3 linked regions of the Schizosaccharomyces pombe genome follow. Changing the gene in region 3 together with the main gene of any one other region gives a genetic interaction. Each region holds a gene or a part of one and is shown on either strand. Other genes may lie near its edges. The genes, in order: spb70, rad26 and spp2.

Evidence for each region.
Region 1: mutations in spp2 (region 3) and spb70 impair growth when combined (synthetic growth defect), as found in Schizosaccharomyces pombe (one study listed by BioGRID).
Region 2: mutations in spp2 (region 3) and rad26 are lethal when combined (synthetic lethality), as found in Schizosaccharomyces pombe (one study listed by BioGRID).

What each region holds. Positions count from the first base shown.
Region 1 is NC_003421.2:284,996-296,007, reverse strand, and holds spb70 (DNA polymerase alpha B-subunit), read right to left. Parts: upstream 8,780-11,012; 5' UTR 8,369-8,779; coding exon 8,103-8,368; exon of another isoform or gene 8,062-8,102; coding exon 7,083-8,061; exon of another isoform or gene 7,041-7,082; coding exon 6,732-7,040; exon of another isoform or gene 6,693-6,731; coding exon 6,522-6,692; 3' UTR 6,304-6,521; downstream 1-6,303. Other genes in the region: oligosaccharyltransferase delta subunit Swp1, read left to right, coding at 41-526; kpa1 (DinB-like DNA repair polymerase kappa), read right to left, coding at 790-987, 1,034-1,546, 1,593-2,032, 2,072-2,564; GTPase Ria1, read right to left, coding at 2,994-3,747, 3,793-5,945, 6,001-6,096. UniProt on the Schizosaccharomyces pombe protein: Accessory subunit of the DNA polymerase alpha complex (also known as the alpha DNA polymerase-primase complex) which plays an essential role in the initiation of DNA synthesis.
Region 2 is NC_003424.3:4,446,283-4,457,343, reverse strand, and holds rad26 (ATR checkpoint kinase regulatory subunit Rad26), read right to left. Parts: upstream 6,740-11,061; 5' UTR 6,499-6,739; intron 6,419-6,498; 5' UTR 6,230-6,418; coding exon 5,480-6,229; exon of another isoform or gene 5,425-5,479; coding exon 4,759-5,424; intron 4,704-4,758; coding exon 4,275-4,703; 3' UTR 3,975-4,274; downstream 1-3,974. Other genes in the region: atd1 (aldehyde dehydrogenase), read left to right, coding at 2,273-3,784; GTPase Ypt2, read left to right, coding at 7,827-8,429; SPOM_SPAC9E9.06C (threonine synthase), read left to right, coding at 9,876-9,944, 10,003-11,061.
Region 3 is NC_003423.3:3,313,823-3,324,106, reverse strand, and holds spp2 (DNA primase large subunit Spp2), read right to left. Parts: upstream 6,335-10,284; 5' UTR 6,325-6,334; coding exon 6,159-6,324; exon of another isoform or gene 6,101-6,158; coding exon 5,905-6,100; exon of another isoform or gene 5,706-5,904; coding exon 5,114-5,705; exon of another isoform or gene 5,071-5,113; coding exon 4,645-5,070; 3' UTR 4,478-4,644; downstream 1-4,477. Other genes in the region: dca7 (WD repeat-containing protein), read right to left, coding at 1-78; proteasome regulatory subunit Rpn2, read left to right, coding at 1,266-1,311, 1,373-4,224; tif301 (translation initiation factor eIF3a), read right to left, coding at 6,926-9,685, 9,731-9,769. UniProt on the Schizosaccharomyces pombe protein: Regulatory subunit of the DNA primase complex and component of the DNA polymerase alpha complex (also known as the alpha DNA polymerase-primase complex - primosome/replisome) which play an essential role in the initiation of DNA synthesis.

The sequences.
Region 1 (11,012 bases), on a different chromosome or scaffold from region 3:
TTGAATACTTCTCTTAGCGATTAATTTACTAACCTTATAGCGTCTATTTGATATTCCCACTTCTTTACTTCGAAGTGATTCAACTCTTACGGCTAAACTACTTGTTGCTTCTTTTGGTGAAACCATTCCTTTTTCACTTCCTTTGGGTCAACTTTCCATTAATGTGCCTCCTTCTTTGTACCATAAAGCGGAATTTTCTCCTTTGGACGAATTAAGTCCTAAAGAAGTAATTCTTCATACATTTTCTCCCCCTCCTAAAAGGGCAAATTATTTTCTAAGTATTTGCTTTTCTGTTTCGGTAGTGGTTAGTTTAATCGGTTTGCTCGGTGTGTGGCAGAAATTGTTACCAAAATCAAATGTTTACTCTGTGTCATCATCTTCATTTGCTAGAACGTTTGGCTTTGCCTCCTTGGCCGTTGCAGAAATCCTGTTGTTTATTTACTGGACTTCTTTGTCCATCTTCCAATTTGGCGCATACGCTGCTGGCGTCGCAATCATGTGCGGAATCGCTGCTAAAAGTCTTTAAATCGGCCTATCCTTACAATCTTTGAGTTTGACGATGACTTTACAATTGACGTTGACATTTATGTAATATTTTTCAGTACCGCAATGTTATTTTGTAAAATAGCATGGTTACTTTATCTAAAAATAGTTGTCTTTGACATTCTTTCTCTAAAAGTTTTACTTGGTCTATACAAACTGTCAAATACTTTTACCATAAGCTAGTTGCGCAATGATTCGCAATCCAAAACTTATTTAATGTTGCTTTAAGGTCAAGATTAATAAATTTTATTCCAAGAAATATGTGTCTAATGTGTTTGATTTTCTTTTTTTGATTGTAGGATTTGCAGTATGATCGGTATTGATCAAGGATTTAACTGTTTCGACATTTAAGCAAAGGTCGACATGTTGGTTCAGTATACCTAATTCGTTTTCAATATTTTTCTGGCAAACGGGACAAGGAACGGTATTCTGGCTTTGGAATTTCTAGTAATAATTAGCATATTGCTAGCAGTATATTTGCTTGACTTACAAGTTGCATGGCCAAACAACGCGATTTACTAACCAGCTTTGTTGCTCTGACTCCTAATAAACGAATAGTCATAGGGTAAGATTGACGCAACAATTGCAAAGCTGGTTTCAATAAATCAGATTCTGAATGAATGAATTGACCTATGCTCTTTTGCTTGGTATGAACTTGAAATTCGCTTGTTTTATACTTTATAGCGATCGAGTTTGTGACTAATCCGCGCTTTTGTAAATTTTCAGATACATTTTGTACAAGAAGTCTGAGCTTGTACTCGATTATTGACGGAGAACTAAGATTGCTGGAAAATGTAGCTTCAGACCCAATTGTTTTTCGTTTGCTCTCACCGTATTCGTCTAAAATTGTAGTTCCAAATCCATAGCTACATCTCAACAAGTTTTGGAAACTTTTAGGTAAAAAGATATAAGATAAAATCACCAAATTTCTTTGAATATCCCCACACGTCTTAATTTCCAAACCAAGTAATTGCTGCTCTAAAACTCTACCAATACCAGAAACCTGTAATGTTAAAGAATGCTTAACCAGATATAGAAAGACTGCTTACCTCTCTAACAGGCAAGTCATTCATGAATTTTGAAATCCCAATCTCGTCAAATGGGATAAAAAACTGATTATTTGGTTTTCTCTTATTGCTTGCAATTTTGGCTAACAACTTGTTTGCTGCAATACCACAACTGACTGTAACTCCTGTTTCTTCATGCACTTGTTTCCTGATTTTCTCAACCACCATCGTTATGTTTTCTACAGTAAATGCAAGCTCTTGGAGACGTAAATGTGAAGTCAAGTTCATATAAAATTCATCAATGCTTGCAGGACACAAATTCGAATCATACTGAGCAAGCACATTCTGAATTTCTTTAGATTTTATTGCATATTCAGAAAGATTTAACGGAATTACAACTAGATCAGGACAAATCTTTCTAGCAATAAATTCTGGCATCGCTGATCGAACTCCAAACTTTCTGGCCACATAATTAGCAGTACCTTATTCAGCATTAGTTTCAGTCAGATTCGAATACTTACACAAAACACTCTTCCCGACTGCCATTGGTAAAGACTTAAGTTTTGGATTCTTAAGTTCCTCTATTGATGCATAAAACGCATCACAATCAACATGAACAATTATTTGGGTCAAATCTCGTTTAGCCCTAAAATCCTCAACAGTAGTATCCACACTTTCTTGTCTAATGGTCCACTCTCTTTGAAACGCTTTATCAAACCTTAATTTTGATTGGTATTTTTCTACCTCAACTTGAACCTTTTCTATTCTTAAACGAAGTTCTCGGTCTCGTTTTTGTTCGGCTTCAAAAAACTTACTTCCTTTGGAAGCTTCGTAAATTATCTCGTTAATCTTTTTTTGATTAACATTTTCCTGTCCTGACTTGAGAACAGAAGGGCCTGCCAATCGTCGTTTTAAAGTAGCTTCTTCATCTGAACTACTGCTACCATCATCTTCAATGGTAAGTAATCCATTCTCCTTTATTGTTTCTCCTATAAAATCTTTTGCATTTTCCATCCGTCAAAAAACATTAAGGCGAATAGTTTTCAAAATACTAGAATTTGAATTAGTACAAAGATGTGTTTGTGTTTTGGCGCGTCGCGTCTGTAATCTATCACCTTCTAGCGATTACGCAGTAGAGTATATCATTATTTGTATTATGCATATCCCACAACATCGGTATTTTTTGGAAATTTGAATTTGTATTAACAATTTAAAACATAACAAAAAGAAGCCTAAAGAATCTTGCATGTGCGTTTTACACTATTCATCTTATAGACTTCTAATCTTAGTCCCATAGTTCATGAAACACTTAACTCAAAATCACAGCTACCTCAACAATGTAACAAAAAAAAAAAAAAAAACATTACCTCCATCTAACCAGGTCATTGTCATCAAATTACAATCTTTTCGTTTTCCTAAAGAAATTGGAATCAAGTACTATCTTTAATGCTTCAGTGTCCTCTGCTTCTCTGCCTTTTCAACAATCTTTTGCTCTACCAATAAGCCTTTCCTTTTTCGAACGTTCAGCATATAGCGCTTAGCAATATTTTCGCGATCGGCTAACTCGCCTAAATCTTCCAATTCCTCCTCAGTAGTTGGAACCCAAAAGGGATTCTCGTCTAGCATCTCAAAACCATGGAAGATTAATTGAGGATAGGCAGCACCAGATGTCCTTTTCAAAATTTCTACAGCGAATCCAAAGGATTCAACAACTGGAATCAAGGCTTTTACAATAAAAAATGGAGTCCCTTCCTTCATTTCTTCATCAATTACTCGTCCTCGTCGCTTCGAAACAACACCATATACCCTACCCAAGACTTCAGATGTGGCCTGAACATCGCAAGAATACATGGCTAGCATAAGTCTCGGTGACCAACCTAAAAATCCATGTCTAATAGACTCTTTCACTACCGAAATAACTTGACCGGGGATTTGGGGATTATTGATGGTAAGTAACTTACTATCTTCCGAGTCATCAGATATGTCAAACTGATCGATTGACACACAAATGCCTTGAACGGGTTCAGCACACAATGGTCCCTGGTGCGTTATTAGTTGAAATGCAGTAACTACATATTCAGAAAGGTCTGAGGGTATTAATTTTGTTTCATCGCTTTGTCGTCGAAAATCTCTCATCTTCTTGGTTTTGTCAAAAAGTATATTAGGACCCACTCGTTTGGGGCCAAACGCAATGATACTAGTATTGTTAGTAATCAACCAATAGAACACTAGTATAACCTACCTATCCAAATGATTTTTCAGCTCGCCTAAGTCAGAGTTCTCTTCCTCTAAAAGCTTGGAAAGCCTTTCATAAAACTTCTCAGGAGTCAACACTTCCTCCATACTTTTTGTTAAAGATTCCGAGACAACAACGTTTCTATTTTTCTTTGAAAAATTGCTGCTAACATTTTCAATTGTTTTAGAGTGCTTCAGCAGAAAATCTACGACAGACCCAGAAAGAGGTGTTACTGTAATTCCAATCGTAACTCCGCCAACTGGTAACGTTGCAGTGACAAAGCCAATACTCAGTTCTTTATTTTTTGCTAATAAGTCGGGTGTAGCTATGGTAGTTTCCCGATATGGCACAAGTGGCTGAGATGCTTGTATTTCAATTTTTGCAAACCGTTCCCTAAGGTCTTTTAAACATCTTTCCAAATGAATCTCTCCGGCACACATAATTACATGCTCTCCATTTTCTTCAACGGCTATTTGAACACATGGATCGGCTTGATTAAGCATGTCAAGGCCAGTCACTAACTTGTTCATCTCAAATGGACGAACAGGCTCTAAAGCGACCCGCACAATGGGCTCCATTTGCTGAGTTACGCCCACTAAATTAGGACCATTTGGAGATGAGCATAGTGTTGCTGTTCTCAAAACCGTTCCGGCAAGGCCACCGATTGCGAAAACGTTACCAGCGGGAACTGTCTCTAAATAAACTAGCTCCTGTCCCATCATTAAATATAATGACTCAACCGTTACCTTGGTAATATGTTTTTCAGGATTGACTGGATCATATTTTGGACCATAAACATATACTTCCTGTCCAACTGAAATTGTGCCACTGTATATCCTAGCAAAGCCAATTAAAATGTCCTTATCATCGTCCATGTCAGTTGTGCTACCTTCTAAATTGTCAGAGTTGGTAGAAGAAACGTTTTCCTCAATAGAAATGGTATTTATGCCGCTCTCAATTGATTCAGATAATTTTGAACGTATCAATTTCATCTCCTCAGCACTAAGTTGTTTGCGACGATGATTAGGAAGATCTCTTTCAGAAAAAGCTACCATTTTACTTATGTATACCAAAACAGGCTGTTCCTTACTAGCGTCACAACTTTCCATAGCCAGTGTAATATCTGGATCTATCATTTCGTAATGAGGAGTTGAACTCAAAACTTTCCTAGCTCGATTCGCTTGGGCGTTAATAGGAGAAGGAATTTCCCTAATCGCTGTTAACAAAATTGCAGTTGATAGTGGCAACCACTGTTGAAAAATCGCAAGTAGCAAATTTCTAGGGTCTTTGGATTTGATGTCACGGGGAAGAACTTTAATGTTTAATGCCTTAATGATTTTCTCAATGTTTTCAAGGTTCCTATTGCTCACAGCTGATTCATAAACAGCCCAGAGGTTTTCGAGAACAAATTGTACAAACATTGGTTTTAACCGTCGGCCTTGAAGATGTTTGGGCTGAAGAACTCTTTTAGTTTTAGGGTCTAGATAATAATCACCCCAGAGACATTTTGTAAGTGCTTTTTGTTTTAATCCAAGCTTTTTTTCGTAAAATTCTGAAAATTGGTCCAAACAAAATGCCCAGCCATCGTATGCACTAGCAAACACAACGTTTCCCTGTTCAGGTGCGAAATATATACCTTCATCACTGATGACTTCGTCGTTATCAGCTAATTGCATAAGCTCACCAGTATAAAAGGTGCCAATGACAGCATTTACTTGTTCAACAAGTCGAAGCAAATGATAATGAGCTTCAATAGGAGACAGTTTCAGTTCAGTAATCAAACGATCCATTTTGTTAATGACTAAAATCACCTTTATACGGTCTATCCATGCTTGTCTAAGGACAGTAATTGTTTGACTACAAACACCCTCAACTGCGTCTACTAAAACAAATGCACCATCGCAAAGCCTTGAGGCCGAAGATACTTCAGAACTGAAATCAACATGACCAGGAGAATCGATAAGATTAATCAGGTAATCTTTTTCAACTCTTTTTTCATCATTTTGGCTTATAACTTTAAAAAACAATGAAATGGCGCTAGACTTCATAGTAATACCTCTCGTAATTTCATCTTCGCGAAAATCAAGAAAACGAACAGTACCAGCAAGTTTGCTAGATATGATTCCATTCGAAGCTAGTAAACTGTCTGCAAGGGTTGTCTTTAATTAATCATTAGCAACTATTCAAAAAAGTTTAAAATTGCAAAATTCATACCTTTCCATGATCTACATGAGCAAGTAATGTAAAATTACGAATATTTTCCTGATTTTTTTGTAAGGACACAAGCTTTTCTGGAGGAATAACAGGCATTTGCACTACTTCCCCTATGTATGTTGGAGGTCAACTGTAGTGACTAAGTAGGTTGAGATGTGAAACACCAAGACTAGAGTCCAAATCGAAAAAATGTTGAACATTCAAATACTACAGTATAAAAGGAATACTCATTCAACTATAAAACAACGACTAAAAGTTCGCGAGTAGCGATTTGAGATATATCAGAGATTGTCTTAGACATTTGAGGAAAATGGTTAAATTAACAACATAAACATATGAGTAATTTTGCAAACAAAATTTGAAGAAAACCAAAATAGCGATAGATAGAAAATGAAAGCTGAAAAGTTAATTAATTCTAACGGTCTATGGTAGACATCTACATAAATAATGATAACCAATGATATTTAACGCTGAATTTTTTATATTTTCAATAAATTCCGCAGAAAAAGAGAGTATAATTATCATAGTTTTAAAATTTCTGCCTTGGTTCGAAGCCATACACGATGTGAATAATGATTAGAAGAACCATTATCCCCGAGCTCTAATGGCGCGATAGTTAATTTTGCAAAAGTGCCCAAATTAATCCCTTTGGTCGCTTTACCAGGATTCAATGATACAACGTTTTCAACGTTCTATAACATTAGTTAAAACAAAGTAGAAAATTAACATACCTTTACGAAATAACGTAAATCACTTGGTAAAATTAGTATGTCCGGCATAGTATTTAGGAATTCACCAAGTTTAAGATGTGCGATATCTAAGTTTGAAGGGTTGCACTTTTCAAGAGAACCTCCAGGGAATAAGGGATAAAAATGCCTTTGGTGAAGTACGTGAGAAACCAAACGTGCAAATAAGTTACCATGAGAAGGTAGACGAAATAACTCTTCTCTAGATGTGTGAAGGAGTATATCGTTGGTTGACACACCAAAGACGACATCATTAATGGAAAACATGCAAGGATTCGGGAAGCATTTGAAGTTCTATGGATTGGTCAATAAAAATTATTATACAACTTAACATACAGATGGAAGACCTAAGGCCACCCGATTAAATGCATCCTGTGGCCATGCAGGATGATCTGAAGCAGCATCATTGATGTGAGGAATTAAAATACAAGGACAAGTTAGCTGGCTTAATATGGGTGTGACACGCTCTTTAAACAACTCTTCCAAAGAAGTCGCAGACGTTCCTGTAATGTTTCCGGTACGTATTAGTATATGATTAATATCCAAGAATGGACCACATAGAATAACCAAGTCAACAGGATTTTTATTTACATATGAAATCATTGATTTTAAAGGGGAAAAAGAGAGATCATCACGGAGAGACCAAGGTCCAGATGCAATATATATAGAAATTGGCTGATTATTTGTATTAGCAACAAAGGTAGCGTGCTCCTGTTTAGATGAACTTGGGAACGGCAAAGGAGGTATAGGAAGGATTTCCTTGGCGATAAACATGTTACCGCTAGGATTGGATCCTTTAACTGAAACAATTTGACCAGGAAATATTGAGTAACTTGGTAGATCATCCACCTTCAAACGAACTCGAACACCAGCGCCTAGACGTCTTGAACTTTCAAGTAAAATGCTATTTTGGTTGAGTCTTCCACCTAAATTGGTACTTTCGACAACAATTCGTCCTACAACTACAACGGGTTCTTGAGTAAGTTCGCTAGGATTTGCCAAATCTTCATCACTTATGTTGTATTTTCTGCAAGTTAATGCACTAAAAAGCTCAATGCGATCATCCAGAACTTCAGAAGAATCATAAAGCTTTTGATACATGATCCTGTAATTAAATGCCTTGAGATCAAAATTCGCTACGATAACCAGCTTGGATGGAGCTGAAGGTTTTGAAGTTACAATTTTTAATTCTTTATTTAAAACTTCCAAAACCCTTCCAGCGTCACTGGAATTCAATTCGAAAGTTTCGGTAGATGGTTTAGACTCTTGCATCAACGAGTCGCCTGATGCGGTGGTCTTCACTGGTAGACCTAGTCTAGATATTTGTTAGTTAAAACCATTTGCTAATGTACGCACATGCTATCAATATTCATTCCCGGGATTTGCTTTATCGATTTTCTTTCAGGATTCTGTTTAAGTGTGGCTTTTACCTGCCTCTCCATTTGAAATTTCATGTCTTTAGCAAAGGCCTTGAATGTGTCAAGGTCGAGTTTTGGTGTATTTCCTCGTTGCAAACACCAGGACTCCCACTTGTAGAACATTGTTTGCTCGTCCATATTGCAAATTTGGAGAAGTTTATTTCGCTCATCTAGCAATTCCTCATCATCGATAGGAAATTCCATTTTTTTGAAGATTGAATGAAGTTGAAAATGAAACAAGATACCCAAAAAAAAAGACAGTAAATGAATACCTGGGAATATTACGAGCAAATTAATTTGAAGTGACTAATTTTGTACTGTGATGTGGGTCCTGAAAAAGAAATAAATAAGAATAAAAAATACAAGTACACGTACTAGCAATCCCAGTCCAAAAGTGCCCAGTGATAGATTTTCGAAGTTGCTTTTTTTAATTTGTTTACGCGATTCCAACCTAACAACAGATAGAAAAAACGACGTATAGCAGAAAGTTCAACCACTTAAAGAGGTACCCACCAATAATTATGAGTAAACCTTTTTAGGATAGGAGAGTGTATCTTCTTAAAGCAACTACTTAAATCGCTCTTCTAATAAAAACTCGGATATACTGGGACGCTCCGTGGATACTGTGGAGAAACGCAGTAGTATGTGGTTTAATGTGTTTTTTAAACCTCCTTAAACATTTAACGAGATGCTTTTACTATGTAATATTAGTTTACTGATAAATAGTGTAGTATGTATTTTTTTTGTTTTGTCAGCTGAAACTAAGCTATGTTACAATGTGTCCGAGTATCACTATATGTCACATGTTGTAATGTTCTATTTGCTCTATCTACTTTACATGGTAGGTTAAAAAGACAGCTACAGTACCTTTTATGATAATATAAATATCAGTTACAATTAAAGACTTTTTCAAATACTATAAACTGAAATCAACTGAACTTCGTTCCTCAGTTCGGTTATAAGCTACATTAGTGATAACTAACAATAGACCTACATAACAGAATACATATACCCAGCTGCTACTTAAAATACCTGTTTATTGCAATATAATTGATCACGAGGAAAACTCACTGCAATCCTAAGTATCGTTAAATATTATAAACTGCGTAGTTGACATTCGCTATACAGAACAGGCTTGCAACTACTTGACTAGACAATATGGATTGTACAAAGTGAAGTAGAAATATGTTTTATATTTTTTCTCTTTTTTTCTCTTTTTTTTTCGTTGTTTTTTTTTTTTTTTTTTTTTAAACTATAGGAATTTTTGCTAATTAATAGGATCCAACCCTATAGCTCAATTCAGCATATTCGATTTCTTTTTTTTTTGGCTAATTTGTTTAATTTTCAACTTAAAAAAAAAAAAAAGTAACCCAAAATAAAATAAAATGCAATAAAAAAAATAAGAAGCCAAACAATAATTTAAAAAAAAAAAACAATATCTAAGTTAAAAATTATTTCGTTTTCAACTCAATAAATATATACTGGAACATTAAGCTATGTGAAAGAACAAATCTTCTCATACACTACTAAATGTTTCCCATGGTGTTTGAGTTTTTCTTTTTTCATCAAAGAAATTATTTAATAATACAACTAACATCGTCAGCAATAAGCCTGGGCTGAACGACCGTCTTGTTTACAAAAGCTTTAGAAACTTTCCGATACTATGGAATGTCAGGTTTGCAAAGTAACAGTTTAGCGGAAGCAGCAAGATAAACAATTAATCACGGAAGAAAGTGATTTTGACTTTCTGAATCAGATGTTTCGTGGTAATAGAGGGCTGGCTATTAAGAATTGGTAGCAAACTCAATACGTATATAGCAGATGTATATATAGAGAATGAAAAGCCCAACTTTTTGTAATCATTTTAATCGGTGATATTTTATCTACTAAAGAGAGCTTAGAAGAAAAGACACTAAAAATAAAGCAACAAAATATAGAGTATGATTATCAAAAAAAATAAAGATATGTTTCAATAAAGGTGTGAAAAAGTACTAAAAAACAAAAAGCGAAAAAGAAAAAAAGGATTACACCATCTATACTTGATAGGCAAGCCCTACGTATTGTATTTATTCTTTACTCTTTAAGTGTTGCCCCGTCAGCAGTCTATTCATTTGCTTTCATATAAAATGGGTAGGATGATGGCCTTTTGATTGTATACCTCAAAAGCAATTGCTGCTTGTATAGTTAATCCATCTTAATTTTCAAGGAATGCTATACACTAAAAAATATTGCGAGCTTACCACAAAGATCGATATTACATTTTTACACACACGTAACGTTCAAATCTACCGAGATCACTGTCTGTATTAGTGAAACCCATTAATTTACTTTATACTAAATAGCGATGCCTAATCCCTACGCTCTTTAGCATCCTTCGTAATCACCTTGGTTTCCCGCATGCTCCGCGCAACTGGTTCCCGCCAATGGCGATCGTTTAATGACTTTCAAATGACATCAGCTACCTCGTGTCGAGCGAGTATCCTTCTAGCGCAATATGACGAATGCTATCGCCTAGTCAAAGCTAAAGGAGATAGTGCGTGGAAAACCTTGAATGTGCTGATATACACGGCAAATGGTCGCTTTGAAAAAATTTAAAAGAAGCATTAGTACAGCATATATAAAGTTTTTTTTACTCAAACATGTTTCTTAAAATATTTTTTATTATTTTAATATTTAACTAGATGCTTCTAGACTGTACCATTTTTACACAGTCGGGGTCCGGGATAGCGTTCCGTCATCGCGCCGAAAATGTTGATCCGTGATTGTATATAAGAAGCGCTTCCCGTCAAATTTTTCGTTCCATTAAAAAGGGAGTTTTTGACTAACGTCTTAACTGATATTTCCTATT
Region 2 (11,061 bases), on a different chromosome or scaffold from region 3:
AAGCGATGGGAATATCAAAGAAATGTAATAAAGAGTAGTAGGGACAAACACTCAAGAAATAGAATTTTATTTTATTTTTTTATATTTTATTTTTCTTTAGTAACAAATGGAACTCTGGTTCGTTAAGTGAAAACAAAAAAAAAAGACACGTTGGCATAAAATCGACTCACATTCATCAATCAAGACCAACTTTGAAACACATTATACTGCTACTACTACTACTACATTACAACCGTTGTGTTTTTGTTTTACAACTACCAATCCAGTCAATCCCCCACATAGACCAAAATCTCCCACACACGTGAACCCCAGTCCAAGTCTTCACCAGTCCCCTCCATCCCACCCTTTCCTAGTCTTAACGCTCACCCTACCCCCATAAGGATCGAAATCCCCCACTTTGCGACTTTCAAAGTACTGGGCGGAAACTGGCGTAGCTAATGTCTAAGATGTCAGCGTAGGTGGCGAATTTTAGTGTCTCGGGTATATCTGTTTACACAAGCGTTTGCTACTATTACCAATTCCTAAATACAGAATAATGGTTTAACCAACCGCTCGATAAACTCTGTTTCCCATTTTTTTACTCTCATCGCTTGGCCATGATTCGCTTCGCATGCATTAAAGTAATTACGGCACATTGACGTAATAAACCTTATTTTGAGGTCGTACGAAAAGAGCCCAACTCCTCGCGGCCGTAGTGGACGTGCGGGTCAACAAACCAAACTAAACAAACGCTATCAGAAGATTAAAGTTTCTTTTGTTATGCATATGTATGAAATCCCACTTTTGTTTGTGTATCAACGTTTATGCTTGGTTATTCAACGTAATGGCTTATCTACGTTTATGCTTTCCATTCATTTATCCACGTTAAATGCCGCACGTAACGTACCATGATAAGAGATGTTTTGGTAGGGAAAATTCAAAGGGCCCAGGGCCGAACTTCTCGTGTTGATGGGGCAGGAACGTGTGAGAAGGGAATTCGCCATAAAGCAGAGAATACTAACAGTTACCAGTGGGTCGAAGCTAACAAAACCAACAAGTTGAGCAAAGCAAATGAAAAGCGAGTTTGGGATTTTCGGAGAGCGAAAGAACATGGGGTTTCCTGCGAAAATGACCCATTTTGACTAGATTAGCCCAAGGTGCTCCCATTTTCTCAGCGCATCGCATTCTTTGGGAAATAAGAGAAGGAAGAAAATTTAAGAAGCGAAAGCGCACTATGCAGATGGCGCTAGAAGTTGCTTTGCTTTTTGCTACTAGACTAGACTAGGTTGGCTGGCATCGGAGTTTCAACGTCGTTCGTCTTTCATCGTTCCTCGTTTGTTAATATCAAATTTTCGATATAGTGAATTGTATTTCCGAGTATGCAATTCCCTCTAAAGCATATTACTATTGCACAGTGAGATTTGGGAGGGAAGCTTTGCGTACGCTAGCACATATGAAATCTTGTGATTTTTGAGGGTGTCTCTTCCTTTGATTCGCCAAAATTAAGCATTGACATCATGGGGTAAGGTGTCCTGTTTTGTCATTCGTCGTTGTTTGAATTAGATCATGTATAGGAAATCATTCGTCCAGGTGTCGGTCTTTTGTGTCACCATTAATCAGTAGGAGTTGGAGCTTTGTTTACTAATCATCGTATAAGTCATATATGATTTTTACTATAAATATTGAATTCGCCCCCCTTTGCAGTTCACTGAAATAAGTAGAACAGCACGGTCTTTTCGTTTCTACAACACGCTTGCTATTCTCTTATTAGTATATTCCTCTATCTATAGTCTTTCCTTCACTTCCTACATCCAAATTGATATAGGTTTCCTTTGTGGTATTATTACTAACAACGACAATTGATTGTTTTAATTCATTGATTTTGTCGTCTTTCGGTTTTTATCACATTTTATAAAAACTGCATCCCCCTCTTCTTAAGAATAATAAGAGGCCATTGTTTATTTACCCCGGTCCTTTTCTGACCATCTAATCTTTTCGTATTAGGTGCTCTTTTACTTATAGTTTGGTTTCGCCCATAACTTTTTGACGACGTTGTTTACTTTGGTTGATATAAAATTATTTTATACAATCGTTAACACCTCATATTTTCCATTTCATTACTGATCTTTTGGTTTTGTCCTGTGTTTGCATTTCAATTCAGCTCTGCCAAATTTATCCCACTACTTCATTTTTTATCTTTGGTTTTTTTTTTTTTCTAGTTAATTTTTTAATTACTCTTACTCATTTACGACAACGACCCCTTTTCTCAATTTTTTAATACAAACTTTTCAAAATGTCTACAAAACTCGTTGATCACGTCGAAATTACCGTTCCTACAGGAAAAACTTACATTCAACCTGTCGGTCTCTTTATCAATAACCAACATGTCGATTCCGTTCACGGTGGTCGTGTGAAGGTTTACTCTCCTTCTACTGAGAAACTTATTTGTGAGGTAGCTGACGCCGACGAAGAGGATGTCGATATCGCCGTGAAAGTTGCTCGTGCCGCTTTCCAGACCGATGCTCCATGGCGCAAGTTTTCCAGCGCTCAACGTGGACGTTGCCTCTCCCGTCTCGCTGACTGTATCGAGCAAAACTTGGAATACCTCGCTTCTATTGAGACTCTTGACAATGGTAAGAGTATCACTTTGGCTAGAGGTGACGTTCAAGCTGCTGCCGATTGTTTCCGTTATTATGGTGGTTGGGCCGATAAGGATTATGGTCAAACCATTGAAACCGACATTAAGCGTTTTGCCTATACTCGTCACGAACCCATTGGTGTATGTGGTCAAATCATCCCCTGGAATTTCCCTTTCTTGATGTGCGCTTGGAAAATTGCTCCTGCCGTCGCTTGTGGTAATACTATTATTTTGAAGACTGCCGAACTCACTCCTCTTTCCGCTCTGTGTCTTACCAAGTTTGTTCCTGAATGTGGCTTCCCTCCAGGTGTCATCAATGTTCTCAGCGGTGATGGTCGCCGTTGTGGTAACGCTATTAGTTCTCACATGGACATTGATAAGGTGGCCTTTACCGGTTCTACCGGTGTCGGTCGTATGGTTATGCGTGCTGCCGCCTCCTCCAACCTGAAGAAGGTCACTCTTGAATTGGGTGGTAAGTCTCCCAATATTGTTTTCAACGATGCCGATTTGGACTCAGCTGCTGTCTGGACTAACTATGGTATCTTTTACAACTCTGGTCAAGTCTGTTGTGCAGGTAGCCGTGTCTACGTGCAAGAGGATGTTTACGATGAGTTCATTAAACGCATGGTTGCCAAGGCCAAGACTTTGAAGGTTGGTGATCCTTTCGCCGAAGATACCTTCCAAGGTGCTCAAGTTAGTAAGCAACAGTATGAACGTATTGTTAGTTATATTGAGAGTGGCATTGCTCATGGTGCCAAATTAGAGATTGGTGGTAAGCGTCATGGTAATCTCGGTTACTTTGTCGAACCTACTATTCTCTCCAACGTTACCGAGGACATGGCTGTCGGTAAGGAGGAAATTTTTGGACCCGTTCTTGCCGTCATTAAATTCAAGACCATCGAGGAGGCCATCCGTCGCGGTAACAACAGTACATATGGTTTAGCTGCTGGTGTACACACTAACAATATTACCAATGCCATCAAGGTCAGCAATGCTCTTGAAGCCGGTACTGTTTGGGTGAATTGTTATAACTTACTTCATCACCAAATTCCCTTTGGTGGTTATAAGGAGAGTGGCATCGGTCGCGAATTGGGCTCTTACGGTCTTACCAATTATACTCAAACAAAAGCTGTTCACATCAACCTGGGAATGGATTCTCCCATTTAAGGAAATCAGACGCAAATATTTTTTGTAAAAAAAATAAAAAAATATGCATTCAATGGATAAAGAATGAAGAAAAACTCTAGTGAAGAGAATTATTGGATTTTTCTCTTTATGTTATGAATGTTTACAGTTTTTCTTGAAACTCTTCTATGACGGATTTTCTTTATTATGAATCAAAACGGTTTTGATATTTGAACTTTCAAATGCATTTTATTGAATTTACATAGTGATGATTCTTTATGTTAGTGGTACTTTAATATATTCATTTTCGTTAATTGCTAGATGATTTTATTTGCAGGTAAATATAGCCGTAAGTTTTACTAAAAGAACGGAATGGGGATGTTTTTGTGGTACGCATTCCTTTGGGGAAACAGATTGATTTGTATTTAATTTGCGAGGATGTGGGTGCGGGACGGGAAAGAACAACACTGAAGAAACAAGTATCATTATTTCATTTGAAAAATTAGGGAAATAGATTCATCTGTTTCATTATCTAAAAATTAGTGTACAACTGCTCCAGCTCTTCGGGAGAGACGCAAACTTCCAACAATTCTGTAGTGAGAAAATACATTTCCTCACCCAAATTGCCAAACGCTTTTTGTTCAGTATCGCCGAATGCGCAGCATGCTATTGCATAAACGAAACGAGGTTGTAACGCATTTTCAGCTAACATAAATTTTGATGATAAATCTTCGGAAGATAAAATGTACAGAAGCCGAACAAGAGATACTAAAATCTCTACGCATTCATTTTGAGGGTACATTGACGAAAGGAGTTGCTGATGATACCAAGTGATGGCTAGTCCGATGCATACTATTAAGGGATTGCATACTTTTAAAATCTCTTTACCAATGTTTCCAGACATTTGTATAAACACGGTAAAAAAGGATATGACAAAGCGATGAAGCGTTATCCATTCATTCTAATTTGTTAGAAATAAGCAATGCAAAGATTATAAGCACAATTCGTAAACGTACCAATTCAGGAAAATTAATCCTTTCCCTAGTAGTAACAACTAAAATATGGGCCATAGTTGTGAAAAGTTGCATGAGTGATTCTTGGGATTTATCATCGGCATTTAACAAGTTAACTGAAGCGCAAAACGAAGGAGTGGTGGAACTAATAATTAAACAAACACCACATTTAATCAAAGAAGGAGCATTTTGCACTCGAATGCAGGATTCGAATAACGACGGATCAACCGCTTTAGTAATGTTTGCAAAGTCATCAGCACTTTCACGTGCTATAGATAAGTATAAATAAAGAAAATCTATTAAAACGTAAAACTTTGAGTCCAAAAAATTGCTTTTTTCGTATTCCTTAAGAAGAAAACCACTTATTAAAGAAACGACATTTTCCTGAAAGATAAAGGTGGATGATTTAGGGTCCAAAATTAATAATGCATTAAACAAAGATGTTATAGCAAAGGAGGCATTATATAATAATTTTTTCATTGAATAATTTAAAATCGACGATGATGTTTGAACGACAGATTGTACATAATTGGAGGAATCCATAGATAGATCGGGACTGTATATTAGAGCTTTCAAGTTATTAAACAAACATTCACCTTCCTCCTCTCCTTCAATTGTTTCTAATGAATGCATACAACCACCAAATACGTATGCTAAAGTTCTAGAAGACTAGAAAAGTAAGAAAAGGGAATAAAATTTAACACGACAGTTTAAAAATACTTACAAAATACAAATCTTCTCTTTTTTGTAGAGAAAGTAAATCTTTCATCAGGCTCAAAGACAAACTTGCATCTGATATAGCAATACTAGAACTCACACTATCCGTTGAAGCATCTTCAGCAGTAGCAACACTTGTTTTGCGCTTCTTTTTAGAAGGGCTGTTTTTTGCAGCATGCTTTGTGCTCTTAGCAAGCTGATCAGAAGAAGATAACAATTTATTGTCACCATCTTCTTCATGGGATTTTTTCATAATCGGAGAATTCTTTACATCTCTTTTCATTTTTTTCATAGTTTCGATAGCATCCTGTGCTTCACGCTCATGAAATAGGGATTTCGTTTTTGCGTATTCAATTTCTTTTTTAAGCTCCTCTAATTTCCGTTGGTATTCATCTTGCTTTTGCTTTATAGAATTATTTAACGATTCTAGGGCGGCATTATTAGCTTCGGATTGTTTTAGAAGGTTAGCACGAAGAATTGCATTTTCTCCCGACTTAATTAAAAGTTCTGTTCGAAGGTCATTAGAGGATAATGAGGCTTGTGAGTTTACGGTAGATTCCCGGACTTTTTGAGAAGAATTGGTGTATGAATTTGGAAGATTTAAATTTTGCTTTTGCTTTTCACTCGGTACAACTACTTGAGAACTTTGAGCTTGAACCTGGGTTTGAGCTTGTTGCTCTAATTCATCTAAATTCACGCCTTCAAATATTTCATCCGAACCCAAACTCTCCAAGTCAAAACTTTCATCAGCCATCATTTTGTTTGTAGCTTTCACTCTCGTTTATGCGTAACAATAGTTGTTTGAAGTGATTCCAAATTGTAATATGGGCCCAATGTTTTTCTTATTCTGTAAAAAAGAATTGAATTCATAATAAATCGTAAATTGTTTCAAATACTTTCAGCAACCTTGGTAACTGTAATTATCGTAATTCAGCAATTGGAAAACCTTAACAGTTAGTAAGCAATATTATGCAGAGAAGATAAGGCCGAAAAACCATATCTCTTTCTAGTATGAATACCACATACAAACGAAACACTAATAGCAGAATATGACTGCAGTCACTAAGGCTGCTTAATCGCGTAACTTCCTGTATGAATAATTGAACCCTTGTAGCAATATGAATTGATTTTGCAGAGCACCAACAGATATGATAAATAAGATAGTCTTTTCCAAAATGCGCAGCTATATAAGATGCTTTAACGATACGTTTAACTGCTATGAGTATTTCTTGTGATCTTTAATTTACTTGTTGAACTTGGCGTATTAGTGCATTTTGGTTAGCAATCGAATAGCCAACTTGAAGTTTTACGAGTTACGTAATCGACAATAAGACCTCAAGTACTGTAAATCACTATTAGCCAAAAATCAAGTATTTGAATTGTCAATAATAAAAAATAAATAAAATAAGTGTATGATGTTTGAATGCTTTTAAAAATAAAACATGAGAAAAATATTTTTTATACTTAAATTAAGGTGTTATGACAAATGGCTTCCATCATTTATTCGAATTAATAAACATAAAAGAATTAAAAAAATGAAAATATTATTAAAAAAGTAAGATCGAATTGTAGTCTAACCAAATATATCAATGGATAAAATGAAATAATTTGTTATTTTGTTTTATTGTAGAAATTATTAATTTCAATCTCTATTGAATACTCATAACCTCGAAAAATTTAAAAGTTATTTATTTTCAGACAGTCCAACTCCTAATCGTAGAACATTTTATAGTTTATGCTGGTTTAAACGGTTTATTGTTTCAACTCGAACAACAATGACAAAGCCTAAAATGATGATCATATGAATTAACGTTAAGTTCATTGTTTCTCCCCCATCCATTTACTATATTATCAAAAATAAAAAGGAAAAATCTAAACCAAAACACTTAAAGCGTTAATTATAAGTATGTTTAGGTCAATGACAGTCATATAAACATTGATTAAATTGATCAATGCAGTACTATATTAGTCATATTACCAGTCATTCAAATCGTATAAATTAATCCATGGCTAGTAAATTGTTTAGTGACAGAGATTTTTCTCTGACATGAAATCTGAATTATTTCTCTTGTGAATATCTTTGTTACTTTCTCAAGAGTGTATGTATGTGCCCTAGAATAGTGACTTCCTTTATCAAAACTTCGAGTTTATTGCCCTTAGGAAACGTACATAAAAAAGTTGAAAGTCATGTTTTTTCAACATAAAAAAACACAAACAAAGACTTAAATAAAACTAGTACCATTTATACAATAACATTACTTGAATTAATAAATTTAAGTGTATTTTTGCGGCATTATCTCAAGGGACTCCAGTAGATTCTACCACTTACCACCTGGCAAAAGCAACACTCCTCCATGTCTACAAAATCCTACGATTATTTAATCAAATTACTTCTCATAGGAGATTCAGGTGTGGGAAAATCATGTCTTCTTCTGAGATTTTCGGAAGACTCGTTTACCCCTTCTTTTATCACAACGATTGGAATTGATTTCAAGATTCGCACGATTGAACTAGATGGAAAACGTATCAAACTCCAAATTTGGGACACTGCTGGCCAGGAACGTTTCCGTACCATTACCACTGCTTATTATCGTGGTGCAATGGGTATTTTATTGTTATACGATGTAACTGATAAAAAATCATTTGATAACGTCCGAACTTGGTTTAGTAACGTTGAACAACATGCTAGTGAAAATGTTTATAAAATCCTTATTGGAAATAAATGTGATTGTGAGGATCAGCGTCAGGTCTCCTTTGAACAGGGACAAGCGTTAGCCGATGAGCTGGGCGTTAAATTTTTAGAAGCTAGTGCGAAGACGAACGTCAATGTAGATGAGGCATTTTTTACCCTTGCCCGGGAAATAAAAAAACAAAAGATTGATGCAGAAAACGAATTTTCCAACCAGGCAAATAACGTTGACCTCGGAAACGATCGTACGGTGAAGAGGTGTTGTTAGGCTCCTTATTATTATCTTGTCACATTTTCTTTTTCGCTAGTTTTTGATATTAGCACCGCCGATACGTATATAGTCGTGAAGTGTGTGGAGAGCTTGAAGGAGTGGAGATTGGCATTGCTTTTTATATCTTGTGTTGGTTATCGTTTCCGGATTGCTACTTTGTTTCCTTACTCTTTTCAACTCTACCCGGTTGGGAAGTTTATAATATTTCTCTATATTGTACACTTTCTCTTACTTTTTAATGCTTTCATAACGTAAAATTTATGCCTAATAGCTTCAATCAACTTTTGATATGCTTTCGAGTTGTTGTGATTAGATCGAGTTTACATTTTGGAATATAATCAATTCCCATGTTTTTTTTTTCAACGTCTCTTTTTTCATTGCAATTTCCTTAACATTTCAAAAAGTAATGCCTTTGCTTTTTCTTGGGGCCATTTTCCAATGTTTCTCGCGAATCCTTTTATCAATTTGCAACGAGCAATCAAGCACCATCTAATTCGTCCTGTTGATCTACCTCATTTATTTTTTACGGCTGCTGCCTATTGTTTTAAATGTTTGGGCCACTGAACCAAGTTTACATTTTTCATCATGTTATACCGATTTGATTAGGTTGTCATCAATCGAAACGTCTTTTAACGCCTATCTTTTACATATTTTAATTGCCTTATCTTCATCTTCATTTAAACGTAAGATGACTACTTACCTTGTTACATTGTAGATTTTATTTTATTTTTATCTTGCAACGAGACCACAACAGAAGCCTTTCCAAGATTACCACTTCAGCATCTTAATCTTTTTAAACAACGTATTACTATATGAAAGTCGATGTACCAGATTATTGCCAAGATTAAAACGATTTCAGCAATGTAGAGTAATTTGGCATACTCATACTCTTGTTTGTTTACGTTTTTGTTAACTACGCAATTGCTAACCAAGATAACGATGTGTTACTTTGCGGTAAGTCTCAACTTGGGATTTTACTATTTTCTTTTCATGACAATTTAACGATATGCAATTATATATATATCGATAGTCAGGTTGGACTTAATGTACAATTACCAGCTGATAGCTGATAATTGAAATATGAAACGCAGGAAATTTGATTCAATTTATAATATTTTCATTTTAGGATATATTAAAAATTACGAATACATTTCCGTTTTGGGTGACAAATATAAAACTTAAGAACAAAAAATGTAGCGAAGCATACCGTAAAATGGAGTAGTGTAGTGAGCAATAGCCACGGGTTCAGAAAATAATAAATTCGAAAAAAACCAACTCAAAGAGCTACTATAGTGAAAATTAACGATACTATCTTTAAAATATTTACGTTGGTACACTCAATTTTGTAAACTGTTGATAACACGAAAGATTGCAAGGTTCTCTGAAAAATGGCGGATTTTATTTACCAAGAACAAGCAACGTTCTGTTTTGGGAAATAGCGAAATGTCTAGCCAAGTTAGTTATTTATCGACTCGTGGTGGATCTTCAAATTTTTCTTTTGAAGAGGCTGTGGTATGTCACAAATGCGTCTTACTTATAACTCGGTTTACTAATTGCCATTACTGTATAGCTTAAGGGTTTGGCTAATGATGGAGGATTGTTTATTCCATCAGAAATCCCTCAGCTACCTAGCGGATGGATTGAGGCTTGGAAGGACAAATCCTTCCCTGAAATTGCCTTTGAGGTAATGTCTTTGTACATTCCTCGCTCTGAAATTTCAGCTGATGAATTGAAAAAATTGGTTGATCGCTCTTACTCTACCTTCCGCCACCCAGAGACTACTCCTCTAAAATCATTAAAGAACGGTCTCAATGTACTTGAGCTCTTCCATGGTCCTACTTTTGCGTTCAAAGATGTTGCTTTGCAATTTCTTGGTAACCTCTTTGAATTTTTCCTTACTCGTAAGAACGGAAACAAACCTGAAGACGAACGTGATCATCTGACCGTGGTTGGTGCCACTAGTGGTGACACTGGTAGTGCAGCTATCTATGGCTTACGTGGCAAGAAGGACGTTTCAGTTTTTATCTTATTTCCCAATGGACGTGTTTCCCCTATCCAAGAAGCTCAGATGACTACAGTCACAGATCCTAACGTTCACTGTATCACTGTGAACGGCGTCTTTGACGATTGTCAAGATCTTGTTAAACAAATTTTTGGCGATGTTGAGTTTAATAAGAAGCATCATATTGGTGCCGTTAATTCTATTAACTGGGCTCGTATTCTCTCTCAAATTACCTATTACTTATATTCTTATCTTTCCGTTTACAAGCAAGGAAAGGCTGACGATGTTCGTTTCATCGTTCCCACCGGTAATTTTGGTGATATTCTCGCTGGTTACTACGCCAAGCGTATGGGCTTACCTACTAAACAACTTGTTATTGCTACTAACGAGAATGATATTTTGAATCGTTTCTTCAAGACTGGTCGTTATGAAAAAGCTGATTCTACTCAAGTTTCGCCCAGTGGACCTATTTCCGCCAAAGAAACTTACTCTCCTGCAATGGACATTTTGGTTTCTTCTAACTTCGAGCGTTACTTATGGTATCTTGCATTAGCCACTGAGGCTCCTAATCATACTCCTGCTGAGGCCTCGGAAATTTTGTCTCGCTGGATGAATGAATTCAAACGT
Region 3 (10,284 bases):
GAATTTGCCAAGTGAATCAAGTACTGATTTTCCAACGCCAGCAGATATTGAATACCTATTTCTACGTAAATCTGTCATTGTGCGCGAAGTGTGGATATTGGGATAAAGTAAGTAAGCGCCCCACTTATGATGTATATTCAATACAAAGCAAACAGCGAATACCGGCTGCAAAGCGAAAACGCAAAAATGAAGAATTGTTTTATTATATTTGTAATTTTTTTCCTATTCAATAATTTTTTAGTAAATTAAAAGAAGCGACTGCGTACAATTGCTTCACCCTTTTTTGTTGATTGACCTTTGATCCCGTACTCAGCGCTTCCGTTAAGGTATCATTACATATACATTAATATCATTGTATGCGTGAAACACAGAATTTTTTATATCTATTTAGAGTTAAGATAGTTATGTTTTAACAAAATACATTTCGGGTTACTTTAGCTTCTGTTTGCTTCCAGTTTGACGACATCGAAAAATGTCCATTCAATTAACATGCCAGCAATAAAAAACAGTGGTTTTAATAAAGCCAAAAACATTGTGGCATGGGAAGGCCTCGATATCATTTCTGGACGCATCCATGTGGCTTAGTTATTTCATTACTGATAGAATTGACTTCGAGAAAAATTATGAAATACATTAAATTTTCTTGATCAAACAGTTCATTTGCAAAGCTACTGAACCATGATAATTGTTATATTACATTGTATTTGTAAAGTAATATTGTACTAGGCATTGATACGTACTGCAAGTTAAACGAATGATCCCAGCGTAATATATACTATCAAAAAATACTAATGAAAGTATAACTGTGAAGTCAAACAACTATAATGCTTTAAAAAAAAAATTCGACAAAAATTAGCTACTTTGTTAAGCTAAAGACTATAAATTTATCGATACTAAAAGCGAATGATAAGAAGGCAATGAGAATCATATTATAGAACGATCAGAATAGCTTTACTTAGTTCGTTCATTTTGATACGATACTCATATAAATCCCTCATTGGGTTGAGATATCTTACATAGTTGATGAAACATACAATTTGACTTTTTTCGATAATACTGAATATTATTTAGGTGGTGTGGTGTGGATAACATGATATAGCATTACATTTAATATACCTGAAACATTTATTGGTACAAGTGCCCTACCCTTACCGAATGTGTTGGTGGAATGAAGCACAACGGTTCAGGGTATTTACCAACAACGAAACACCACCTGCTGTTATATAGTTTGTAAGATTTAAATAAACAGGTCTAGTTTCGTCGAAATGACTATGGTGTACTCTGATAACACCTCTATTATAACGTCAGCAGGTACGTCGAGCGTTAAACAATGAAAAAATGTAGAAATCATGTTCACTAATCCTTTTGATAGGTGGTTTGATGGCCCTGCTGGACGAGCAAGAGCGAGAATTACAAGTACATGCTTTACTAAAAATTTATGAGTTTATTGATCAATTATGGCCGGAAATATCGGATGATGTTACGAAAATTGAGGTTATGTATGAGGACCATTCATTTCCTGAACGCGAATTAGCAGCCTTGGTAGTCTCAAAAGTTTATTATTACCTTGGAGAATATGATGAGGCTCTTTTGTTTGCCTTGTCAAGTGGTCCAAAGTTTTTGCATGACAAAAATAGTGATTACAAAGAAACACTAATTTTCAAATGTATTGATATGTTTATTCATAAAAGTGCAGAGTTGTACAAAAATCCAAAGGCTGACCCCTTGGACGAGAGACTAAGTGGCGTAGTCGAGGGCATTTTTCAAAAATGTTATGCTAAAAACGAATGGAGACATGTTTTGGGAATTGCTATCGAGGCTCATCGACTTGACATTATTGAATACATTTTAAATGCAGACAAAGAGACAGATTTAAAGCCTTATGTACTGGAACTTGCAATGACTGTTGTTTTAGACATTGAATTCCGAAACCGCTTACTTCGTCTATTACTAAGTTCTTTTCTGACAGAAACAGAACCTGATTATTTCTCAGTTGGAAAATGCGTTGTTCATTTGAACGATGCCTCTGTTGCAGCCAAACTTTTAATGAAACTATCTTCTCAAAACGATGACAAAAGCTTATTGACAGCGTATCAATTAGCCTTTGATCTTGAAGATTCGGCTCCACAAGAGTTTTTAAATAGTGTGATGGATTTGCTTCCTTCTCCCTCTGTGGCCAATTCCGAAGAGGACGCTAACGCTGATTCGAAAAAGGAGGATTCTTCTCCTTGTGGTTATATTATTCGAATTTTGTCTGGTGAACAAACCGTTAAATATGACCGTGAATTTTTATATGCACATAACAATACGGATATGCTTATTCTGAACAGGACGAAAGATTCTTTAGAAGCCAGGAACTCGGTTTTTCATAATGCAGTTACGTTCGCCAATGCGTTCATGAACTTCGGTACTTCCTCGGATAGTTTCTTCCGCGACAACCTTTCCTGGTTATCCAAGGCCAACAACTGGTCAAAATTTACTGCAACAGCTGCATTGGGTGTCATCCATCGAGGATATTATAATCAAGCTATGAACATTCTTCGTCCTTATCTGCCGGAAGAAGATGCGCCATCAAGCTCTACTTATTCTGAAGGTGGTGCTTTCTATGCCATGGGGTTGATTCATGCTAATCATGGAAGAGGTGTTACTGAGTATCTGCGCGAACAACTGAAACATACCGAAGATGAGATTGTTCAGTATGGTCTCTTACTTGGAATTGGCCTAACGGGCATGGCTAGTAGGGACGAAACCCTTTATGAATCTGTTAAGACTATCCTTTTTAACGATAATGCCGTGGCTGGGTCTGCCGCTGGTATATCCATGGGTCTCATAATGCTTGGTACAGCTTCTTCTGCCGCCATTGATGAAATGTTGCAGTATGCACATGAGACGCAGCATGAGAAGATTATTCGAGGTTTGGGCATCGGTATTGCATTAATTGTTTATGGACGTCAGCAAGAAGCTGACGGTATAATTAAAGAACTGAATAATGATTTGGACCCTACTCTCCGTTATGCAGGCATGTTCGCTACCGCTTTGGCTTATTGTGGTACAAGCAATAGCAAAATAGTTAGAGACGTACTTCATATCTCAGTTAGTGATGTCAATGATGATGTTCGTCGTGCTGCAGTTTGTGCTTTAGGTTTTATCTGTTTCAAGGATCCTAACGCTCTGATTTCAACGGTTGAGCTGCTCGTTGATAGTTATAACCCTCATGTTAGATATGGTAGTGCAATCGCTTTAGGAATTGCCTGTGCAAACTCGGGGTCCAATGCTGCACTAGATTTATTGAGCCGCCTTGTTGAAGATGCAACGGATTTTGTTCGCCAAGGTGCCATGATTGCTCAAGCAATGATTCTCACTCAACACAACGATCAATTGAATAGTAAGGTTTCTGGAATTCGAAAACATTTTGAACAAGTCATCAACGAAAAACATGAAGACGCGCTTGCTAAATTGGGCGCAACATTGGCTCAAGGTATTATTGATGCCGGCGGTCGTAACGTTACTATTGCTCTTCAGACAGCTACTGGTAGTTTGAAATTGTCTGCAATTGTTGGATTAACTGTTTTTCTTCAATATTGGTACTGGTTTCCACTCACGCATTTTATGTCTCTTTCCTTCTCACCTACTGCGCTGATAGGTCTGGATAAAAACTTGAATGCACCCAAATTTTCTTTTATTTCAAATGTTCGTCCTAAACTGTTTGCCTATCCTCCAAAGTCCGTACAACCCACTGCTAAAACGGTCCAAAAAGTTGAAACTGCCGTGCTCTCTACTACAGTCAAAGCTCAAGCACGTGCCAAGCGTGCTGAACGTGAAAAAGCCAGTAAAGGTTCAAATGATGACGAAATGAAAATCGACAAAAAGACAACTGAAGAGAAAGAGGCCACTCCGATGGAAATGGATGAAGAAAAAAGTCAGGATATAAGCATCAACGGCAACTCTAAAAAAGAAGAACCTAAGTCTGAAACTTTAGAGAACTTCACGCGGGTTGTTCCTGCTCAGCTTCCATATATTTCATTTAACCTTAATGGCCGTTATTATCCGGTTCGCAAATTTACCGGTGGTGTTCTTATGCTTATCGATCGTGAGTCTGATAAAGCTCCAGATTTAATTGAACTGAATAGAGACGCTGTACCTGCTAGTGCAGATACAGAGCCTGGTGAACAGGAGGCCTCTCCTCCTGAAGATTTTGAATACCCATTTGATGATGATGATTAGATTCCCAGAAGTACATCCTGCTAGTCTCAAAAAACCATATACGTTTGTAAGAACATCTTGATTGTTACTTGCATCTCTTCAGATTAAATACAAACGTTTTCATATGTTAATAGACTTGTAGTTTGAAGTTAACGTATTTATTCTACGGAACTGAGTGTTCGGAAGATTGCTAGACAATTTCATTTTGATGATAAATTTAAAAAGTTTTCAATTACGTTTTTTAAATTAAATATCATGTTTTTTACGTTGATTTGGTATTATTGCCTTTTATTAGTAACAATGCTTATTCATCTATATAACCAGCCTGCCGGTAATTAGATTTTTGAATTATAGCTATGAAATGTATTTTGAAAGTGTTCAATACCTATTGTACAAAAATTGAAATGTGTTATGATAATCGTGAACTAAAAGTATCTTAGCTTATGATTCTAAACTAAGTTGAAAATATTGTAAGGGATGGTGAATGCTCTCCTCCAGCGAACCGACATTTGGATGAGTAAGCTCAAAAACACGCGTACACGCAATATGATAATGCCTCGCTTTAACTGCCTCAACAACTTCACGGCATCCGGCAGAATCCGGTGCTATTCCCATGGAAGCCAATGCTGACACTAGATTATTTACTGAATATGTACGATAAGGACAACCGTGGGCATCTCCAGGACCAAGTTGAGGCCCTGTAAGGATCTGCTGGCAATTATAACCCTTGTAATTTTTCCTATTTCCTTCAAGTCCATAAGTATGTCTAATATTGTAGCGATATTCTTTGTTAAATTTGTCTTCTGTTACATTTGTAAAACTTTTCCTCCAAAAGACCAAAGCTTCGTCGACAGAAAGGCCAATATCCTGAAAAATTAGTAAATTACTACATAAAAAATAAGTTTCATACTTTTAAAAATAGCCCATATTGAAGACGGCCAAAATGCCGTAGATGCTTATCACGCTTAAGTACTTCATGTAAATGTTTGGCGCATAATGGAAAATGTGAAACAAAACTGTCTACTTGTCCAGCAGTAATAGCACCAGATTTAGGAGCAACTATTGAACTCTCGGGAGCAACGAATCCTTTACTCAAATGGTTGAGAATTGGCAAAAGACGATCGTCTTCATCAAGCCTAGGAAGAGATTTTGCGGTAGACTCAAGCGCTTTTTTTAAGTTTTCTTCAAACTCTTCAACAACTAGACTTACTTGTTCCGAAAATGGTACGTAAGCGTATCCCTTGTGAACGAAAACAGCCCTTCGTTCTACTAAATCCGGAACTTTAAAAAAAGGTACTTTGAAGAAAGATTCGTTTTCTATATTTCTTTGAGAAGAAGCCTGTAGCTTTTCATAAAAAACGTCTTTTTCTTCTTGTGAAACAGATTCCCATTGAAAATCAAGACTATCTATAAACGCTTGACGTTCTCGGGTTTCCTCATTCACAAATCGAAACCGAAATAACGTGGATTCAGCTCTTAAAAACCTGATTCGTAATTCATCACTAATGAATGCGTTAGGAAAAGAATAAAAGCAAGTTTAAATGTATTCATATATATAATGCTTTCTGTTTAACTGAAGCAGCAAATTGATACCCACTTTATGTTCAATTTACTACTTATGCCATAACGCGAACGCATTTATAAGTCTAAATGAGATATTTTTCGACAGACAGCACTCAAATATAGCACATTTTTACTTACGATCTGCTGAAAGCCAGGCGCAGAATGAAATGAGAATAATGATCTTTCCTTCTTTCTTCATCTAAGGAGTTTCCTTTTACAGTCCTAGCCATGTTGCTACTCATCGGCAGACGTTTATCCAGTATCTTTTTTATAATCCCGTTCAATTCATTTTTCGTCTTATTGCGGAGCATTGCTGACTCAATTTCACCCAAAACTAAATAGTTAGCTTACTCCAAAAGAATAGAAAATAATAAAGAAAATGGAAAGCATACCAACTAATCGGTCTATTGCCCATGTTTCAAACTCTTCAATGCTTATTTCAGAGACAGGAGGTTTCTTATAAAAATTAAGTCGCGTAGGATAACTTAAACTCTCAAAACTAGCACTAGAAAAATTTTGATTCTTTTCAACTACTCGACTTTTGGTCGTTCTGAACATGGTGGTTAGCGAAGAGTCTATTTGCGGTAACAAATTGTCGTGCCTCTCACCAAGAAACCTTTTTACTTTGAGTGTCTTTAAACAAATATTTTAAGCTGCTTAACCTTTTTGGTACTAATACAAAACACGTTGCTAATAATTAATGAATTATTTCTTCACTCGTTGTATTCAGAATTATTGAAATGAGAAATGCATACTACAGAAACGTCAACTGTAAAAACTCATCGTCGCTTATAAACTTGACATGTAACATCTTTATTCGATTAGTATCGTTCTACATTTACAATTAACAAGTCAAGCTTTAAGCAGTATTATACAAATTAAAAAAAGTTCAAAGGTTAACGATAATTATCTATTAAATAGAGCTACAAAAGGCTCTTTTTATACACATAACCGCTTTCATGAATTCCAATAGCATGAAAGTAACCAACTACCCTTGTAAGAAAAAGGAACTTACAACTTTCAATAGGAGAACACATTAGTTCATTTAAATTTATCAGCTGTGACATTAGATAATGCATCGTAAAGACTTGACTCCAATATCCAATTGCGACAATAATTAATTGTCGACAGGTTTATTTTCTTATAGACAGTAGGTTTACTACTGTTGTTGTTGATTACGTCTGCTTGGTGGAACATATGCTCCCTTAGAAGGAGCAAGGGTCTCACGAGGAGGAACAGAACCACGAGAGTAGCCACCACGAGAATACCTTGGAGAGTCTCGTGAAACACCGCCAGCACTAGCACCGCCGCGCCTCCAAGCACCAGGACTAGGTGAAGATGCGCCAATATTTGCTCTTCTAGCAGCTGCTTTCTCGGCAAGCTTACGAGATATTTCTTCATCACGCTCTTGCTGAATACGTCTTTGGCGTTCCAATTTCTCAGCCATTTCGCGCTGTTCGCGTTCTTTAGCTTCTCTAGCTGCACGAGTTCTTTCCTCGATAGCACGTTTTTGAGCTTCTTCTTGCTCATGAAGCTCACGGTTTGCCTCTTCCTCAGCAGCACGAGCAGCCTCCTCTTCAGCTTCGCGAATAGCCTCAGCCAATTTTTGTTCGAAAATTTCTTTACGTTGCCTTTCGCGCTCTGCATCAATGACATTTTTAGCTTTGGCGTATGCCTCCTGATATGCTTTATCACGTTCATCGTCAATATTTTGCTTATAGGCATGAATATAGGAAGCAAATTGAGCAAAAGCCTTTTTGTCTTTAATGGCTTGTTCATGCTTACGCTCTTGTACTTCCTTGCGTTGTTTCTCCCTCTCGTAAAAGATTTCGCGGTCATGTTCGGCTTGTTGTTTTGCGTCTTCTTCCCACAATGGGATAGCTTCACGACGATAAGCACGTTCCAAATGGTCGATACGCTTTCCAATAACACGCAAACGTTCGTTCATACTCTTATTTTGCTTTTCGACTTGTTCGATTTGCATAGCTCTCAATTTATCAGCATCCAAATGCTCCAAGTCTTCGGCATTGACTTCCAATCCACCCTTAGCTTTGAGCTCCTCGGCCAACTTTTTAGCTTCGTTAATGCGAATAGCTTCCTTCTCACGACGAATCCTTTCAGCATTACGTTTATTAATTTCTTCTTGAACGCGGAGAGACTCGGCTTCAGATTCTTGCTTTTGTTTGAGAGCGCGTTGAGCAGCAAGCTCAGCTTCACGTTGAGTAGCAAGTGTATCAGCCTGTCCACGACGTAATTCGAGAAGACTACGCTGAGCAATGACCGCTTTACGCTCCTGTTCAACACCAGCCTGAGCCCTTTCGTAGGCAGCCTCGGCTTGTTGCTTGCGTAAAAGGCAGAAATCGGTATCAAAACGCATCAAAACACTAGAAAGGGATTTGGCAATCCGCGTAAGTTGAGATGTAATTAATTCAGATGGAGTAGATTGAAGAGAAACAGAATCCGAAGACTTAATGGGATTAGAAAACAAGTCAGAAGAAAAGCTAATGGAATTTTCAATATGGTTCAAACGAATAGAAAATGCACCTTTCTTGTTACCATTCATAATGAATTTCTCAATTTGACCAGGGTTAAAATCGTAAGGCTCCTCGAATGTAGCAAGGTCCATAACATATTTCAATGAAATGGAATCATAAACTTGAGACAGTTGTTGGAAAAGACGAGTAAGAATAACCTGTTGTAAAGGACGAATGTATTGAGCAGTATCATTACTTTCTGCCAATCTTTTGATGATAGGCTGAAGTTTTTTGCAAATGCTCAATGGATGAAACTCAACTTCCAAAATCTGGTACAAATCACGGATAGCCTGATCACAGAAAGAAAGAACGCCACGAGAAATGGCATCCTTAATTAATGTTTCACGCGTAGGTGTTTTCGATAAGTTTAACAAAAGAGCCAAACGAGCATTCTTGCTCTTGGCATCTTCTGCCTCAATGGAAGGGCCCGATAATTTGTTGGCATCAATAATAGGGATAGAGAGAGCGCTTAAAATTACAAAATTAGCAGTAGCGGGTTTTTGCACATTTGTAAATGTGAAGTACCTATTCCAAGCTGCAGCATGAAGCAAATAATTATCACAAACCAAAAAGATTTTAATCAATTTACGGTAATAATTGCCAAGCATGACTGCAGCAGGAGCCCTCTTAGAGAACGTAAGCAAGCTGTGAATGTCTTCAATGGATCGGAAAGCTTCCTGCCAGAGTTCAAGCTCAACAGCAACGTTTAGCTGAGAGAAACGCATGTCCAGATGACGCTGCATAGTTTCAGCATCATTCAAGTTAATAGAGTGTGGAGCGTTTGAAAATTTAGAAGCATTGCCAAGATGGGACCGAAGGAGTTCACATAGACGGCGAAATTCGGTTTTACGCTGATACTTGAGGCAAAATTGGAATGCAGAGTTAGCAATTAACTGATACATTACTTCTAAACGAGCATTATTACGCAAAATATCAAGAACTGTACGATAAGCATCCCACAAAAATTTCAACCATGGAGTGACCAAAGCACGGTCTGTGCGGCTCTTGGAAAGGTCTCCCGAAACCAAAGACATCATGATGCTCTCGGGAGTTTCAGTAGCCTCAAGATCGTCAACATATTCAACTGATATCTTGTCTGCCTTCTCCTGAGCTTCTTGAACTCTTTTATTAGCAAGTTCAATAAAATGCTTGACTACATTCTCAATAGCGGTAACTGAGGTGTTTTGAACTGCGTTCTTGTAGGTGTACAAGCCTTCCTTTGCAATTTTTCCTTTGCGTAAATGAACACAAAGTTCGATGAAACGCATCATAATAGGCTCGAGAGAAAACCCCTGCGCGTTTCTTGATCTTTTCAAAACTATAGTCTCATGAAGAGATTGCAGTGCTGAGCTGTGCTGATCTAGAGCTATCAGCTCATCGGCAAGCTAATTTATGTTAGTCAAAGTAAGTAAAAAACTCATAATACATACCCTTAGCACATTTTCGGGCTTTCCTTGAGGAGGTGCCATGTTGTGCAGTTGAAAACTTCCCCCTTGTCGTAGTAAAATTTTATTACACGAATAGCGAGCTACCTCGCAGTTTTATATAAGCCACTAAACAAGAGGTACTTAATTCTTGATTTTGCAAAAAAAAATGTTAGCACATGCATATATATATAGTTAGTTGTTCATATCTTTCTTAGGTTTGACTTGAATAAGCATCACTTTTTGTGCAAAGAAATTAGTGGTTTACCGAATACGATAATATGACTAAATTTGAATAGATCGCCTAGTGTGAAGTGCTAACATACTCGTTAATCTATCATGTTTGTTTAAAAAATACCAGTTCAGTTTAGAACAGAGGAAAGCTCTATTTTTGCTTTTATTTGAACGTTTATGGGATAGTAGTCAGATTTTTCTGTTGCCGCTACTAATTACTATCGTTACACAATGTACATCCAAGAAATATTAGTACCGTTATAGTTTTGGAATTTTAGCCGTAGATCTGTTTCTACGCTAATCACCAAGTCCATTCTTTGTTTGAT